Linked DNA regions of Caenorhabditis elegans. The protein of the gene in region 2 purifies or fractionates together with the protein of the main gene of each other region. This does not show direct contact. Each region holds a gene or a part of one and is shown on either strand. Other genes may lie near its edges. The genes, in order: Y38H6C.8 and B0244.15.

The links.
Region 1: the proteins of B0244.15 (region 2) and Y38H6C.8 fractionate together in Caenorhabditis elegans (co-fractionation; one large-scale study listed by BioGRID). This does not show direct contact.

The regions. Positions count from the first base shown.
Region 1 is NC_003283.11:20,512,189-20,516,498, reverse strand, and holds Y38H6C.8 (C-type lectin domain-containing protein), read right to left. Parts: upstream 2,539-4,310; 5' UTR 1,734-2,538; coding exon 1,651-1,733; intron 1,601-1,650; coding exon 1,482-1,600; intron 1,127-1,481; coding exon 852-1,126; 3' UTR 767-851; downstream 1-766.
Region 2 is NC_003281.10:5,741,552-5,745,334, reverse strand, and holds B0244.15 (G-protein coupled receptors family 1 profile domain-containing protein), read right to left. Parts: upstream 1,952-3,783; coding exon 1,534-1,951; intron 1,391-1,533; coding exon 1,166-1,390; intron 1,075-1,165; coding exon 765-1,074; intron 717-764; coding exon 515-716; downstream 1-514. Other genes in the region: Putative G-protein coupled receptor B0244.5, read right to left, coding at 13-146, 361-456; B0244.16 (G-protein coupled receptors family 1 profile domain-containing protein), read right to left, coding at 2,513-2,651, 2,739-2,956, 3,000-3,091, 3,141-3,234, 3,344-3,474.

The DNA.
Region 1 (4,310 bases), on a different chromosome or scaffold from region 2:
TTAACCTAGAGGCCAATTTTATTGAAATTGCAATTTCAGTCAACACCATTATGTTTCACACCGCCAAGCGTTCGACATGGAAGATGAGACAAAAGTATTGGTGATCACACTTTGGACGTCACACGAGCACAGCGAGCTTTGCGGAGAAATTTTCGATAGGGAGCGGTTCCGAAGCATTTATGACAACAACGATCAGTAATAATAGTTGATAGTACACAATAAATTTGTCATTGTTGTTATAATATGATACAGGCATATTGAAAAGACACGTGGTGTCAGAGTGTCTCATTTCGGTTTGATCTACGTAGATCCACAAAAATGCGGGAGTTGAGACGCATGCTTTTCAACTGATTTCGCATGGTTAAGCACGTGTTGACGTCACATTTTTTGAGAAAAAAATCACGCATTTTTTGTAGATCAAACCGTAATGGGACATCCTGGCACCACGTGAAAAGAGACTTCTAAAGCGGAAGGGCAAGTTTGTTCCTGGAACTTTTAAGAAAACTGAGGTAGAAAGCTGAGATTAAATTTAGGTCTAAGCCTAAGCCTAAAGATGAAACTTGAGCTTACGCCGTTACACTAGCCTAGCTCAATCATATGCCTGCCTTAAGTGAAACAAGGTGAGAGGCCTGAGCATAGCCCACAAGCATAAGCCTTATCCTAGTTCAACGTTGTAATCTTATTTCTAAACATGTGCCTACGCTTTAGAGAAAATGTAAAATCTGAAAACTTTAAACCAAATCAAATAACAATCTAAAATGTTTTTTTTTCGAATGTTGTTTCCATTAAACAATGTGAGGTAATTTATTAACATGAGAGGTACTTTGTTGTAATAAAAAAAACTTAAATCATCAAATCTCTAGGCACGGAGGGCATGTTGGAGAGTATGCCCCATTGGGATACTGGCACAGAAACTGGATCCTTTCATCGCACACTTGGGAAAACCACTTTCCAGTCGAAATGAGCATAGTTCCGCAGTGCCGATCTTCAAGTGGCTGTCCTGGTCCCCAATTGGAGAATCGCATTGGGCTCCCGTCAATCCAAGTCCAATTGGTGTAGTGGGCAGCGTCGCTGGCTCCGATCCAAAAAGAGTTGTAGTCGGCGTCGAGGTGGTTTACCGCCAGTTCTGGAAAAATGTTAAACATTTTTATGAAGAAGGAGGTACTCATTGGTAGCCAAGGATCGGGCAAACTATAGTCAGACTTCTGTCAAATTTCGATGCTAACTGTGGACATGGCATTAGTGATAGAAAGCGGTAAGAATCAGTTAGCAAAGCTCGTTCAAAGAAAATATCTAGCTATTTTTACATTTTCTACGCTTGGAAGTTAAAATGTTTCGATTTTCTTCATGATAGATTTTGCATGCGATGTTAATCTATCTTGATTAAGTTGCTGGAGCTAGAATATGTCTGTCTATACCATTCCTAGCTAGCTTCACCCGCCATTAGACCATGTAGTTCCCGTCTAATTTACAAATCTCACTTTGCATCCAATTGTTATCGATAATATTCGTGATTTTTACCAGACTCCCTCCAAACATCTTTACACACAAATCGTTGGCATCCTTGAACTTTCCATGAACACGGTTGAACGAGTAGCAGCTGGAACTCTCCAATTCAGTTTTCTGTCCCACAAAACTCTTTTCACTTACGAATCTCCAAATCCAACATCTCCCGGAACACAGTCCGGCGCGACAGAGCACACTAGACAGACAATGATAAATAAGCGAAGCATAATTTTGAACCTTCCTCAGCGGAGAAACTCATCTTATCAGCTTCTATTTATATGTGTTTGTAGAAACCGCGCCTCTTCCCGTAGTGATTACTTATCACAAAAATTTTAATCATCCATATTTCATAATTTCATGAGTTTTGTAACAAATTGGTGCATGAACAAGATAGTCTGGTTGTTCGAGGCATTGAAATTTCAAATTCCACCACCCTTCTTTGAATTAATTTATTCTTGATTGTCATAGCATCTCTTTTTATTATCAATCAAGAAACGATAATGTGAGATTTTTGGAAATATTGGAGAGATTCAGGTAATACGATAGTTTTCTGTATGTCAAGAGTTAATAGTGCCAGAGATCAAAACACTATCGGAAATAGTGTGGGGTTCGACGAGACGATGAGTTCACTCTTCCAAATGTAGTCCTCATCGAAGCTTCGTAAAAATAGTATAGGGAAATGAGAGTTTATTACTATGAGATAAGTTTTCAGATATATCTGTGGTTTTCACGATGAAAGAGACAATAAGAAAACAGGAGGCGAAAGATGTGAGCTCCCTCCAAATGTAGTTTTCAGGTTAGTGATAATAAAGAAAGACATCGAGAGATTATCATATATTTTTTAGTTATCTCTCACGAGAAAAGACAAGCTCTGTAGTGCAGGTTTGTAAGAGGAGAAGAAGAGCGGAGATATAGTAAGAATGGCTTGTCATGAGCAGGTTTATTAGTTAATAAAGTAATTTACAGAAAAGCAGTTTGTTGGGGGCAAACAGCGAACACGTGACAACGGGTTAAAAGTAAAGGAAAAAGGCCTCGAATGAGCGAAACCGCTCCTTTTATAGGGGAAAAGGGAGGGGGAGAGAACATTCGAGAACGATGACAATTAGAGTTGGCGCCGGCAATTCAGATCCGCGCGCCGTCCGGTGGAGCGCACTTGCAGCGTGCATTGATGAACGTTGGCAAGTCTAGTCGTTGTCTTTGGCAGCGGTTCTGGCCGGATAACCGTGATGTTACCCGCTACGGCAGCACTTGCTGGACCTGTAAGACAATAATAAATGTGGGGAATTGTACCGAGCATGGGGAGACGCGGAAACTCTTACACCTCCCCCCTTTCTTTCAGGACCGTCCCTGGTCCTCAAAAGTATAAGGTTCTTTAGGTAGGCTGTGTTAACAGGCCCTAAGAGTTTCTGCCGTCTAACCATGAGAAACTTTTATAAAACTTAGTGCTTACGTACTAATACCTTACTAGGGAATGACCAGAATAAATGGAGCGATATTCAAAAAAAAAATATTGTATCGGAAAGCTGACATTCTCTACTATAAGAATATGACTGAAATTTTTGCCCGTTCGAGCTGGAAATCTGAAATTTTTACGTCTGAAATTCTACACTGAAATCAGTGCATTTCCTATGGTTAACAGTGGATTTTTGTCTCTGGCGCCAACAGAAGTCTCACCACAATGGTGGAAGGGCGAAAACATCGGTTCGGTGGTCGAGTGGTGAACGCGTTCGCCTCTTGAGCAGAAGTTTGTGTGTTCGGTTCCCATACATGGTTTAACTTTTGGCCTTTTTTATACAAAATTTTCAGAACGGGAAACAAGTATTTAGAACATTTTTTTGAGGGTTTTACATAATTTTTTTGCTTTTTAATTGAACCATAATTACCCTGGAAACTTTTCAGAAATTTTAATTTTTTTCGAAAATTGTCACTTTTTTCTCCACCAAACCCATGAGAAAATTTGATCGAAAAATTTTTTTTTGAAATTTTTTTAAAAATGCATGAAATATTTTAGAGTGTCACAAATAACCTATTTTTCATTATTTTCAATGACCGAATCATTGATTCTGATGCCTTATCAAGACGTTTTACCAAATCGATATTGGCAAAACATCTTGTTTTTGAGGCTCCATATCTCTGCAGGAAAAAATCGCACTAAAAAGTGATCAACTAGAAACTTGTTAAACACAATGTGATCTAAAACATTTCAGTTGAACACTTTTTTGTAAAAAATTTCGTTGCCGAGTTGGAACCAATTGATTTGAGCTTCATTATTTTTGAATATTCTAAATAGTTAAAGATCTATATCTTGGCAACGAAATTTTTTACAAAAAAGTGTTCAACTGAAAAGTTTTAGATTACATTGTGTTTAACAAGTTTTCAGTTAATCACTTTTTAGTGCGATTTTTTCCTGCAGAGATATGGAGCCTCAAAAACAAGATGTTTTGCCAATATCGATTTGGTAAAACTTTATTTTAATTTTTTTTTTTCATATTATTGTTTTTATATTGGGTCAAAACGTATTTGCTCTGCTAAATAGTTAGCTGGCGCTAATTTTTAATTTTATTATTTTCGTATTTTGATAAATTTCACTGAAATTGTCCCTTTAATAGTTTACATTCTATTGGTTTTCTTTTATTCAATGTCTTTTGATATCGGAAACGTGATGTTTGCCTTGCATCGTCATTTTCCCAATCCCCTCCCATCAAATCCCTCGATTTCGAGACATGAGCAGAAGGTGGCAGATCATTTGGCAAGCATTATAAAGGAATCTTATTATGGAGATACCAGTGTGGAAGAATCCGAAT
Region 2 (3,783 bases):
TCAGTAACTCACGTGTCATTCATTTTTCTGAATTCAGGTATTAATATTGATAAATAATATCCGTTTAAGATAAATGCAATCACAAATAAAGTGAATGGAATACATAAATTGGCCCAAAAGTCGATTGCCTGAATAATACCGACGTCCTGGAAACTGGCACTTTTAATCAGATGTGTTTTCGTTTTTTTTCATTGTTTAATTTTCAAGTATTCACCAGCACCCTTAAAAAATATGAGAAAAATTATTAAATTCAACATTTTGAAAGTTTGCATTATTTATAAATCAATAATCCAAAAAAAAAAACACACAAGTAACACTCTAAAATTTGTGTGAAATTTTTGATTAAAACTTAAGACCAACCTGAATAAGAACACATTGATTAGTTGTGTTTGTGCAATTTAGAAAGTATGGCTCGTATTTCGAATGATATGAACAATTTTCGAAAATATTTTGCATTTCCCCATAGGAAACTATAGGAATCTAAAACCCCTACCAGCAGTTCATACGCTTCTTATCAGTAAGGATTATCACTTGTAGAAAAAGAGTTGCGACTCATTTCTTTTGAAGTTTTTCGATTTCCGTGGGAGTGAGTCCATAAAGTTTCTAGAACCTTTGCGTAGTACTTTTTACACATTTTCAGTTGTTTTTTGGTTTCTGATAAGACTTTTTCGTCGAATAATGTACTTGCGAGTGGGTCCAATATGAGAACTAGCGCCCTGAAAATTATATTTTGAAGCAAAAGAAAATTTATGAGGATAAACTACCAAACAATAGAATTCATTGAAGTAAAAATAGTGGCATCAACCAAACGATCAGCTTGATAAAAGTTATTACAAGTATTCAGAGCATTGTCTGCTTTAAGTCCAATCAGTAGACTCTCTGGGATCCCTTCAGCTAAACTGATTACTATAATTGCTGTGAGAGTCCATCCAAGCCGCCCTCGAGCATGGTGAAGAGTTTGGGAAGATGTGTAACTTCCGAGTTTTTTGGCTTTTCGAATATGAAAGCTCAGGCAAATAAAGACAAAAGACAGGATGATTATTGTGATAAGAAATGCAAAGCTGACGATTATAACTGAAAAAGTAATAAATTATTGAACGTTGTAATCACGATTTATCTCTATCTGAGACACTCCTTATAAACAACATGCAGTATGAAATCTCACAATTTATCAAACCAACAATTGGACTGCAAACTTGGGAGTCACACTTAATAGGGCCAGGCACATAACCAGCGGTTTGAAATAACCCAGTAGGAACTGATACCACAACTGCCAGAATCCAATTTAATATTGCAAATATGTAAATTTTTCGAAGGCGCAGATGGGTGGAAAAATAGACTGGGTGAATAACTCCTATGTATAAAAGAACTGCCATTCCGATATAAGACCCTGGAAGTTAAATTAGAAACACATCCGACTTAATCATCAACATTCGCACGTCGTTCGTTGGATCATGCCCGAAATTCAAATTTTATTTTGTATTCAAAATAACTTCAAGAAGCTTTTTACTTTACACTTATAATAATAAATACCTTGTAGACTATAAAAGCTGATATCATTGACAATAACCACCACGGCATACAAGAAATAATTTGATTTCGTACTTCCAGGCGGAAAATATACATACAATATACATCGAAGAATTAATAGTGTTAGTGCTGCACTAATAGATGATACACATCTACTCACAACAAATACGTATCTTTTTTGAGTTGAATGACTCATTTTTAAGTATAATGGAAGGACAATTGTCATAAAATAAACATTGAGTATTCCTGCAATTGTGAAGAGAATGCAGGAAATGTAGAAATCTAGAATAGTTAGAAGCTCGGCCACCACCGCAAAATCATGGATGAGCTCACAGGGACGGGATGTATTAGTGCAGTTGAGGAAATATTGTTCGATGGGATAATGGTTAGTGCAATTGGAAAACAGGTTCGTGGTGGACATCTGATTGGAAATGAGAAATGATAAGAGAGAAAGTAAATGAAGATTAAAAAGTGGTCGACTGTGAGAAGGAACAATTTTTTGTTTCGAAACAATAATTTGAATGCCAAAATGTAATTATTGTAGGCCGATACGTTGTCAGGTTTGTCGCATAATCTTCGCTTTTTCTTTGGCTTCGACAATATGTACCTGCACAAGACTAACGAGGCTCACCAGTTGAGATGGGAAACAAGCAGTAGAGTGTTTTTTTCATTTCTGGGAGGCACGAAGCAGGCAGTGTTATTATGGGTAGCCACAATATGAAGAGCTGCATGACTGTGTCTACATAATTCGAAGATTTGCTCTATAGAGCTTACTGTTTAAAAAAAAAGAAAGAACTGGCCGGGACATTAATCTTCGAATTATGTAGACACAGTCATGCAGCTCTTCATATTGTGGCTACCCAAAATAACAATGCCTGCTTTGTATACCCACATCTCATTCGAAAAACATATGAATAACTTAATTGTTTCTTTGTAAAATAATTTGTTTCACATATAAATAATTTGAAAATAGTTATGAACATCACAATGGCGCTAATGCTGCAGCAGAAGAAATATTTGGAATCTTCTCACGAAGCCATCGAAATTGTTGTTTTACTTTTTCCGAGACCTTTTTGTCGAAGAAAATATTGACGATGGGGTCCAAAATGAACAGGAAGATCCTGAAATAAAAATGAAAATTATTTATTGATTGTTAAAGTAAAGCTTATCTGCCTGCCTACTAAATGAAATCTTTAGACATCACTTACCATACAACTGACTCACAGAGTCCTGCAATAACTTCTCCCATAAACTTATTTGCTTTGTAGAAACCTTTACAAGTCTCAATATCATGAGGTGCTACGTCAAGTAAAAACACGTATGGAATAATTTGAGCCGCTGCAATAAGGCAAACTGCAATAATTGACCAACCAAGACGATTGCGGACCCGTTTCACAGAGGATGCAGATGAGGAAAGAGTATTTGACTGGAAATTCCAAGTTTTACTATTTTTCTATAAAAATACTTACTCTTTTCAATTTCCTGCTACTTCTCACCAAAGAGATAAATACAAAAAATAAAATAGCAATTGTGAACACCAAGCAAACACTGGCAATTATAACTGTAACTTGTAGATTTAGTAGACATTTGAATTGAATTTCTGTAGTTACATTCAATGAGATTCACCCATGGTACACAGGTTGATAAGCTGCAGTTGATAACTCCGGGACTTTGAATTGCTGCTTGAAACACACCGATAGGTATCTGAAGTATAATAATCTCAATTCCGAATAAAAATTGCAAGTCATTACAGAAACCATATCCTAATAGTGTTCAATTAGTATTTTTAATATATCTGGCCATAAAAACTTACTGAAATTACCAATGAAGTCAAATAAATTCCCAAAACTAAAATATAGACAAATCGTAAAGTGATGAGAGATCTGAAGTACACCGGATACATTACTCCAACATAGAAAAGAAGCGCCAACGCGGCATAGGACCCTGAAACAGGTTTGAAATTATTTGTACGTAAAACGTTCCGCACTGTTTAAGTCAAACAAAAGATGTATGTCATTTGAAAGAGCAAGTTTCAAATAGGTCACAACAAAAGGTTAAGCTGTATACGAGGACTTAATAATCAACTTGTTCTAGCTCCATTCCCATTTCATTTTTTCAACAAAAAAACAGAGTTTGTGACTATTTTTGTGATTTCACACCTTTTTTGTGACAATCGCAAGACAGGCAATGATTAATCACTGTTTGATAAGCACTTTAAAATTTTGTAAATTGGGCAATAAAAGAACAATAAAA